Drosophila melanogaster: one gene and its partner. The protein of the gene in region 2 interacts with the protein of the main gene of each other region in a biochemical or structural test. Each region holds a gene or a part of one and is shown on either strand. Other genes may lie near its edges.

What was found.
Region 1: the proteins of Ssrp (region 2) and HP1c form a complex in vitro, tested with the Drosophila melanogaster proteins (one study listed by BioGRID).

What each region holds. Positions count from the first base shown.
Region 1 is NT_033777.3:22,743,495-22,747,207, reverse strand, and holds HP1c (heterochromatin protein 1c), read right to left. Parts: upstream 1,589-3,713; 5' UTR 1,492-1,588; coding exon 778-1,491; 3' UTR 709-777; downstream 1-708. Other genes in the region: CG17141 (uncharacterized protein), read left to right, coding at 1-708; vret (vreteno), read left to right, coding at 1,684-1,994, 2,058-2,468, 2,534-3,350, 3,413-3,597, 3,654-3,713.
Region 2 is NT_033778.4:23,805,743-23,810,720, forward strand, and holds Ssrp (structure specific recognition protein), read right to left. Parts: upstream 3,263-4,978; 5' UTR 3,122-3,262; coding exon 3,068-3,121; intron 2,991-3,067; coding exon 1,419-2,990; intron 1,359-1,418; coding exon 813-1,358; 3' UTR 619-812; downstream 1-618. Other genes in the region: CG13561 (uncharacterized protein), read right to left, coding at 238-393, 454-507; CG5539 (uncharacterized protein), read left to right, coding at 1-87; CG5543 (uncharacterized protein), read left to right, coding at 3,617-4,978. UniProt on the Drosophila melanogaster protein: Component of the FACT complex, a general chromatin factor that acts to reorganize nucleosomes. The FACT complex is involved in multiple processes that require DNA as a template such as mRNA elongation, DNA replication and DNA repair.

The DNA of each region.
Region 1 (3,713 bases), on a different chromosome or scaffold from region 2:
AAGAGCGTGCTCCAGCAGCTGAGGAGACAGCAGCCCGAACTGCAGCACATCCTGTTCACCAACTGCAAGGATCAGCGCAACAACGGCGTGCTGGACATCCTGCCCCTGGCAACGCGCCTCGTGAGCGAGAGCAGTCGCTTCAATCGCACCCAAGCTGCCGAGCACAATCTGATGATCATCGGCGTGCCCAATGTGGGCAAGAGTTCCGTGATCAATGTGCTGCGAAATGTGCATCTCAAGAAGAAGAGCGCCGCACGCGTGGGTGCCGAGGCGGGTATAACTCGATCCGTCGGCGAACGCATCAAAATCCAAGAGAATCCGCCTGTTTACATGATCGACACACCCGGCATCCTCCAGCCCTCCATTAAGGATGATGAAATGGGCATGAAACTGGCCCTGGTGGGCTGCCTTCCCGATCATATTGTGGGCGAGGATCTGATAGCCGACTATCTGCTGTACTGGCTGAATAGCCACCGCAAATACGACTACGTGGAGATGCTAAAGCTCAGCTCCGGACCCAGTGACGACATCAGCGCCGTGCTGGCGGAGTACGCTCATCGGGAGGAGCTATTCCACAAGGTCAAGCAGTACGACGGACGCGTGGAGGTGATGACAAATTTATTGGCGGCCGCGCGAAAGTTCATTCACTTCTTTCGCTCCGGCCAGTTGGGTCACATGAATCTGGACGAACCCAGTGGTTTCAGATAGCTATACATATGTATGAATTAAACTTAGGGGCTTAGATTAAAGACTGAACAGTCGATTCTGCTCGCGTCCTTATTGATTTTCCGCCATGGGCACATCGATGGCAATGTCGCCAACGCCGGGCACGGGAATCGAGTACGAAACACTAGCCAAATCGTCGGTATCATTGGCTAGATCCATGGGTGCATGGTGCTGCGGCGCCTGGTCCACCTGTGGCGCGATTCCACCAAGATGTCCAGCCAACTCAGCGGACTGATCCACCTCCGGCGGCACTTCGACGGGCGCACTGCTAATGTGCGGATAACTGGTGCGCGAGGCCGCCAAACGCAGCTCCTCCGGCACGCCCTTCATTCGCATCGCAATGTGACGGGAGTAAGGTGCCATCTTCTGGAAATAGTCAATCAGCATTTGCGGATCCTTCTCCACGATCTGTGCCGATGGCACCAAGTCGAACTCGTCGCAGAACTGCCAGCGCACCAGATACTTGATGTCGCCCGTCACATCCGTTGCGCCCACGATCTCGGCCAGCTCCAAGCCGCGCTCGTAGCCGCGCAGCTTCTGGATCTCTTCGCACTTGGGTTTCTTCTCGCCGCGCTTCTTGGACTTGGCGCGCGACTCCTCGAATTTCTGGATGAGATTCGGGCAATCGCAGTTCTCCTCGGGCTCCCAGGTGTTGTCCGCCGACGTGTAGCCACGCCACTTGATGTAGTACTCAACCTTGCCTTCGCTGGTAATGCGCTTGTCCATGATGCGCTCCACCACGAAGTTGGGCTCGTTTTTAACCATTTTTTATTGTGTTTTTACAAGATTGTTTACAATATTTAAAATCGGCTTGGTTTTTTTCACTAGTGCCAGTGTGACCGTTTGCTGACTTCAACAACAGTTACAATAGCAACATACTTCTGACAGCATAGAAAACGGTCACACTCGCACGCGCTTGCAATTCGAATTCAGGTGAAATTTTAAAGCTCAGGTGCAATGGAATCCGAATCCTCGCAGGATGATTGGTCCGCATTCGATCCAATGTCCAGGGAATACTATGACCAAGTGGGCAACCGTTACACTAACGAGTCTGGCCAGAAACTAATCATGGAAGCCCCGCTGCCGCCAAAGGACGAAAAGGAGCAACGTGCCACCAGGCAGGCGAAGTATCCATACTTGGTGGTTCCAAAAAGCAGTCCCTATGTGACCGAAAAGATGCTAATCAACTTCTTCGGTCGGGCGCTCATCAAGGAGATGGAGTTCCGCCGCTTGTCACGCGTATACTTTGTCTACTTTGAAAATATCGCGTGAGTTTCTTCAAGCACTTTCGCAGGTCATTCAATATTTCGAGCGTATAATCCTTTTTCCAGATCCCTGGAGACAGCGCAACAGCGGGTGCAGCGTTACCCGAACCTGATCAAGTGCATCACTGGTCGCCCGCAAAAGGAGCGGGAAATCACCAGCGATCCGGTGACTTCCACTGAGCCAATGCCAACACCAGGCCCAGCAATTTCGGCCACTGAACGTACGCCAGTGAATCACAACAGAGAGGTTCCGATCTCGACCGGAGGACAAAATCATCCGGAGTTCTTCCGGCCACCGCTGGTCACCAAAGATGATTACAAAAGAGGTTCATTGTTGGCCACCAACGACCCCATTCAACGCTATCTCAATGTAAAGTACGAATTCGCACTGGAGCGCCATGATATCTACAAGCTTAAGGATGAGACCAGAATCCCGCAGGTCGTTCTGCACTTTCGTTCGGGCAGAACGATTCCTTTGTTAGTATAGCCACCTGGTCACGTGCCCTTGATTAGCTAACGAGTATAGTTTCTGCATCACTCAGGTCAACGGTTGCTGTCACCGAAGAGGATAAAACTAAAAGCCTGCTGGAAGACGGCGTCAGCAAGTGCGTGGTTTGTCAAAACTGGACAGACACTTTCTGCAAGCTGTGCAAAATGCCCTTCTGCAATGCCTCCTGTTTCGCCGATGTGGCAGAGCAGCATAAGCAAGCTTGCGGCAAGGGTGAGATACTTAACCTTGACGAAAAGGTGGGCCGGAAGTACCCCAAACCCGGCTTGCCGCCGTCTGGATCTAAAGTGAGAATTACTGCATTCGAGCAGACTAACGTGGTCTATGTGCGCTCGGCGGACATTCAGATTGACATCGCCTATTATACAGTTCTCACGGAGGTAATGATGCTGGGCAAAGATGCCTCCAAACTGCAGAGTACGCCAGTCTGCGGACAAATTGTGCTCTACAAGTTCGAGGGACATATGTCGCGCGCCATGGTGCTAAACGTGGATAATATCAAGGAAATCTATGTAGTGTTCATTGATTTCGGAAGTGTTGAAGTCACGCAGCTGGAAAGACTGTATGAATGCAGTTCGTATTTAGCTGGTTTGACCTGCTATCCCGTAGCCGTTAAATTACGCGGAGTTCCCAGGCGCTTTGTGGGTCCCAACATAAGGGAAGTCATGTACGAACTCGACCAGTCCCTAGTTTTTAATATCAAGTACTCGTCACGTGAGTACGATACCAGCAAGGGCATGCAGGTCGTGGTGATGACCGAGATCGATATTAATAGGAGCCTCAACCGCCTTTTCAAGACCATCCTAACTCCTGTTGAGCCGTCTGTCTCGGACTTGGGATACAAAGAGGACGTAAGCCAGAACTTAAAAAAACATCAAGTACACAGTTGTCATTTGCATTTATTCGGTTTCAGTGTCTTCCATACATTCCCTTGCACTGCGGAAAGAACATAAATGTAGTGGTAATGGACAACACATTCATCCAGTGCGGCTTTATCTACTGCACCTCCATAGATCTGGCTTACGAAGTCACCAAAATGCAGCGAGACATACAGGAGTATGGTGAAAAGATTGCCAAGTGCGCAACCTACGCACCGCCGTAAAGTTACTCGCCGTTTTCTTTTGTCCATTTAACTAAAGCGCTCTTTCATTTAGGATAAATGAGCTTTGCATAGCTAAGTACGAAGGCAAATGGCGTCGAGGTCTCTCTGTGGA
Region 2 (4,978 bases):
GGCCAGGAAGTGCGTCAGCAGCGTCAACCGGCCAGCCGTCGCCGTCTTTTAGCACAATCATTTGTGAAACCTCAAACAGGTTTATAGTTATTTCATTAATTCAAAACATAAATTGGTTTTAGGCATGGATAGGTTTCAAGTTGTTTAATTACTAGTGTTTTGGACTCGCATTTTCTACTATAGATAGCTATTCAACTATGGCATTCAGGAACGCCCTAGCTTTGCAAACTAACTCACCGATACCGGACCTTTTGGCCATCGCAGGATGTTGGCCCGCAGACTCATTTCGACGACATCCCTCTTTACGGCGTACAATCGGCACAGGGAAACGGTGGTGAAGTTTTCGTCCGCACTCAGGCACTCGATGTTTGTGAACTTGGCAACTCCTTGGACCTGAAGTGAGCTAGTGTTCGGTTCATAATCCCAGCCGGCCTAGCTTACGGTCGAACTTGCCTGCAAAATGTGCCACAGCCCAAACAAGAGGAATAACTCTGTCAACGTGGCCATCACTAAGTTCACCAAAGAGCCATTAAAAACTGGCAAACTGTGGCATTATAATGTTGACGAAAGTGGCAAAAGCCAGTCAAGCGAAACCATAATCGATAGATATCAATCATTACGGGCAATTATCAATTCTGTTTAATTACTTGAACTTTCGAATTGTTGTTGAGTTTTAATTAAACAAAAACGTATGGGTCTGTATCCAACAGGCAGCACTTAACTAAACTAGGCGAATGTAAACTAGATTTGGGACATGGGTGTGTGAGGAGCGTGGTGTGTGTTTATGGAATTGATTTGTTGTGTTTATGGCCCTAATCACTGGCCTCATCTTCCTCATCCTCATCGCTGGCATTGCTGTCCTCCTCGCTCTCCTCCGGTTCGCTCTCGCTCTTGGCCTTTTTCTTCTTGGCATCGCCGTCGGATGGGGGCTTGCTCTTCTTCTTGGCAGGCTCGTTGTCCTTCTCGTCGTCGGAGCTGGTGGAGTCGTCGTCCGAAATGTACTCCTTGCTCTTGAAGCCGCTGCCCGAGGTATTCGCCTTCTTGGATGGAGAAGGCTCCGTCTTGCGCTTCTTGGAGGACTTTCCACCCTTCTCGTTGTCGCTGTCACCGCCCGCTTCAGGCTTGTAGTTGCGCATCTCGTCGTGGTAGCGCTGCTTGTCCTTGGCCGCCGCATCCTCCCACTTGGACTTGTCCTTCAGCTCCTTCCACATCTCGCCGCCCTTCTTGGCGATCTCGGTAACCTTTATGCCCGGATTTTCCCTCTTGATGCTCTCGCGCGTGTCGTTCAGCCAGAGCATGAAAGCGGTGGTGGCGCGCTTGGGTTTGCCAGAGTCCTTCTTCTTCTTGGAGGGTTTCTTCTATAAAAACATATAAAAACATGTTACCATAAGCTATAATAATAAGCAAACATTACTCACTGTTCTCTCCTTCTCCTTGTGTTTTTTCTCCTTTTTCTCTTTCTTCTCGGACTTCTTCTCCTTCTTTTTCTTGGCGCCGTCGCTGTCGCCTCCGCCGCCACTAGCATCGCTGTCATCGTCCGAATCACTCTCCACGTTGCTGTCATACTCCTCGGCCACATCGGACTCGTTCTCGTTGGGCTTGAAGTCCTCATCCGTGGACTCTTCATCCGAGTCGCCATCGTCGTCGTCCTCCTCCTTTTCCCTCGCCTCAGCCTTGAGGCGAGCCAGATAGGCATCTGGTTCGTTCTCGTTGTCCGAATCACCAAAGTCCACGTCCTTGTAGCCGCTCTTGTCCTTGCCCATGTTGCTGACATGCAACTTCTTCTGTGTGATGTAGTCGAAGAGCTTGGCATACTCCTCCTTCTCGATGGAGGAGAAGATGTGAACAGTTCCGTTCTTGAGCGTCACTTCGAAGTCGAAAGATCGCGTGGATCCGCCGCTGCGGGCAAAGTTCACAGAACTAATCTCCTCAAAGCGGATATGCAGCGGTGGCTTGTGGATATAGATGAATCCTCGCTCCAGGGGATACAGATATCCAGCTGCAGCCTTGAACGAGCAGCCCACTGCAGCCGTGCCAGAGTGTCCGATAAAGTTACCGGGTCCGGTAATTTTTCGACCGATCAGCACCTTCATCACTTTGCCCATCACCTCGTACACCGGCCCGGAGATCTCTTTCTCCAGCTTGCCCTCGTACTTGTCTCGCAACTCGGCTTCCGAGAATGGCAGCTCAATGGTGGTCTCCTCATCGGGAGCAAACAGCAGGACCAGGTAGTGGTAACGCGTTTGTCCCTGCTTGATGGGCGGATCCAAGGAGAGCACAAAGAACATCTGTCGACTGTCTTTGTGGGGCAGCATGAAGAGCCGCAGCACCGAGTCCATGGGAATCTTGTAGTCGAACGTCTTGCCGTGCAGCTGGAAGAAGGTCGAGAAGATCTTGATGTCATAGCGACCGCGAGGCGTGAGGATCTGGATCTCTCTGAAAATGGCGATGGACTCGCCCGAAGCCGAGATGACCGAGGCCTTGCTCATTACGTTCTGGTGGAACTTGTCTACCGGATCCTCCTCGGCCGACTCCACGGCGGGTATGTGGAACCGCATCTCCAGTAGACCCACGGGCGCATCGTCGTTTTGGTGGAACTCCAGGGTGACCTCGTTCTTGCCGGTCACGCACTGCGAAACGTGCGACAGCGGCACCTCGAAGATGGTCTTCGACTCCTTGTCGAAGCTCAGGACGGAGCCCATGAAGCGGGCGGTGCCCCAGTTCCAGCCCTTGACGCACATCTCCTTCTCGACCATCTCCTGCGAGTAGGCAGCCTTGATAAACTTGCCCAGCTTCTCGTGCTCGCTGTCGCGGAATCCGGTGAAGCGGTGGAGCACGCCGCCTTTGGTGAACACCCTCAGTCCCCAGGTGCCCACGAACTTCTGCGAATTGATCAGGTCTATGTCCTCTGCCGAGATCTGCTCCACCTTGCCGGTCTTGGTGTTCTTGAAGATGATGTTCTGCTCGGTCATCTTTAGGCGTCCGGAACACTTTTTTGCGCGCAGGGAAATGGAAAACCTCGGTCATGCGAAATGTGACAAAATACGCCGGCTTTTTTGCGACTCACCAAGACTCCGCGCACTTCGGCGTTTATGTCGTTGTACTCCAGAGAGTCTGTCATCCTGCACTTCTTCCTCTCCAGTAACAAGATAATAGATCAACTATGTATTACGCCGCCTTGCGAAATTGTCACCAATTTACAATAATTCCGGCAGACACAAAACAACACTGCGCGCCTAATTTTAGGTTAGACGCCAGTCAGCTATATTAGAGTGACCGTATGTGTGTTTAGTATTTTTGAGTGCACTATTCTTAAATTGCAATCGATATAAACTCTTAATATTCCAATGCAGTTTCCTTTATTGTTTATATATATCTTGTTTGCAATACATGAACAATATATGAGTCATTATTAAATTGAAAAATTTTAATGGGCAAGCCAGAGCTTATTTAAAGACCATAACAATTCGCTCGATCTTTTAAAATACCAAATTGACAGTCCGAATATAAACGGTCACTTAATTCACTTGTTTACAAAATATTTACCGCATATTTTCAGAGAAATATAGTTTTAATTAAAAATTTGAAAATCCACTTAGCGTGGGGCCTTAAAACTATGCAACGCGGTAAAATTTCCTTCGGGAAAATCAAACTGAATGTAAACGTACCTCCTGCGGAGCCAAGATCCAACGAAACCGAGGCGGAAGATGCAAAGGAGTCCACTGAAGCCAGCGGAAATGGCGGAGGATTCAAGAAAATGGACAAGGAGCAGATGATTCGGCAGATCGAGGACGTGGCCGAAGATCTGGAGAGCCAGCACCTCAAGGAAGTGATGGGCATCAGTGGCTTTGGTCGCAAGGCGGCCAAGGTGTTCGACATCAACGAGCAGATAGAAAAGGCGAGAGTTACCCGCCCGGGAATGGACAAAAAAAGGGAGGAGTCCAAGCCGAAGGAGGATGACCAGAAAGACGAGGAAGAGGAGGACGTAATAGGTCCCCTACCACCAGCTGTGACCACAGACAAGGAGAAAGCCACGAAGGAATCGTCCAAAGACGAAGACTCCGATGACGATGATTATTCGTCCGATGAAGATTCAGATGACGAACAAAGCCTTGCTAAGCGCATACCCTACACACACGAGGTGCAGATGCAGCACGGTTCCCGCGCTGTCCTTGCCCTGGCTGGCGATCCCTCGGGTGCCCGCTTGGTCTCTGGTTCCATAGACTACGATATGTGCTTCTGGGATTTCGCCGGCATGGACTCGAGCATGCGTAGCTTCCGGCAACTGCAGCCGTGCGAGAACCATCCCATACGTTCTCTCCAGTACTCCGTGACCGGCGACATGATCCTGGTCATCTCCGGAAACGCCCAGGCCAAGGTCCTCGACCGCGATGGATTCGAGAAACTGGAGTGCTGCAAGGGCGACCAGTATATCTCGGACATGTCGCGCACCAAGGGCCACGTGGCACAGTTGACCTCCGGCTGCTGGCATCCATTTAACAGGGAGCAGTTCCTGACCGCAGCTCTCGACGGTACTCTGCGCATCTGGCAGGGATTGAAGTCCAAGGAACAGTTGCAGGTGATCAAGACAAGGGCGCAGGGAGGCCTCCGCACCAACGCAGCATCATGCAACTTTAACAGGGACGCCACACTCATAGCAGCGGGCTGCGTGGATGGTTCCATTCAGACGTGGGACACGCGCAAGATGTTTGTGAACACCACGCACTGCGTCAGGGATGCGCATCAGAAGGGTTCGGAGATCACCTCCATTGTGTTCTCGTACATGGGTCAGCAGTTGGCCACTCGCAGCAACGACGAGACCATGAAGCTTTGGGATCTGCGGCAGTTCAAACAGCCGCTGCATACCTGGACAAACCTGTTCTCCCGCTACGACACAACAGATTGCTGCTTTAGTCCAGATGACCGTCTGCTAGTCACCGGAGAATCGCTTCCGAAGGGCCAGGCCGAAGCGAACCTG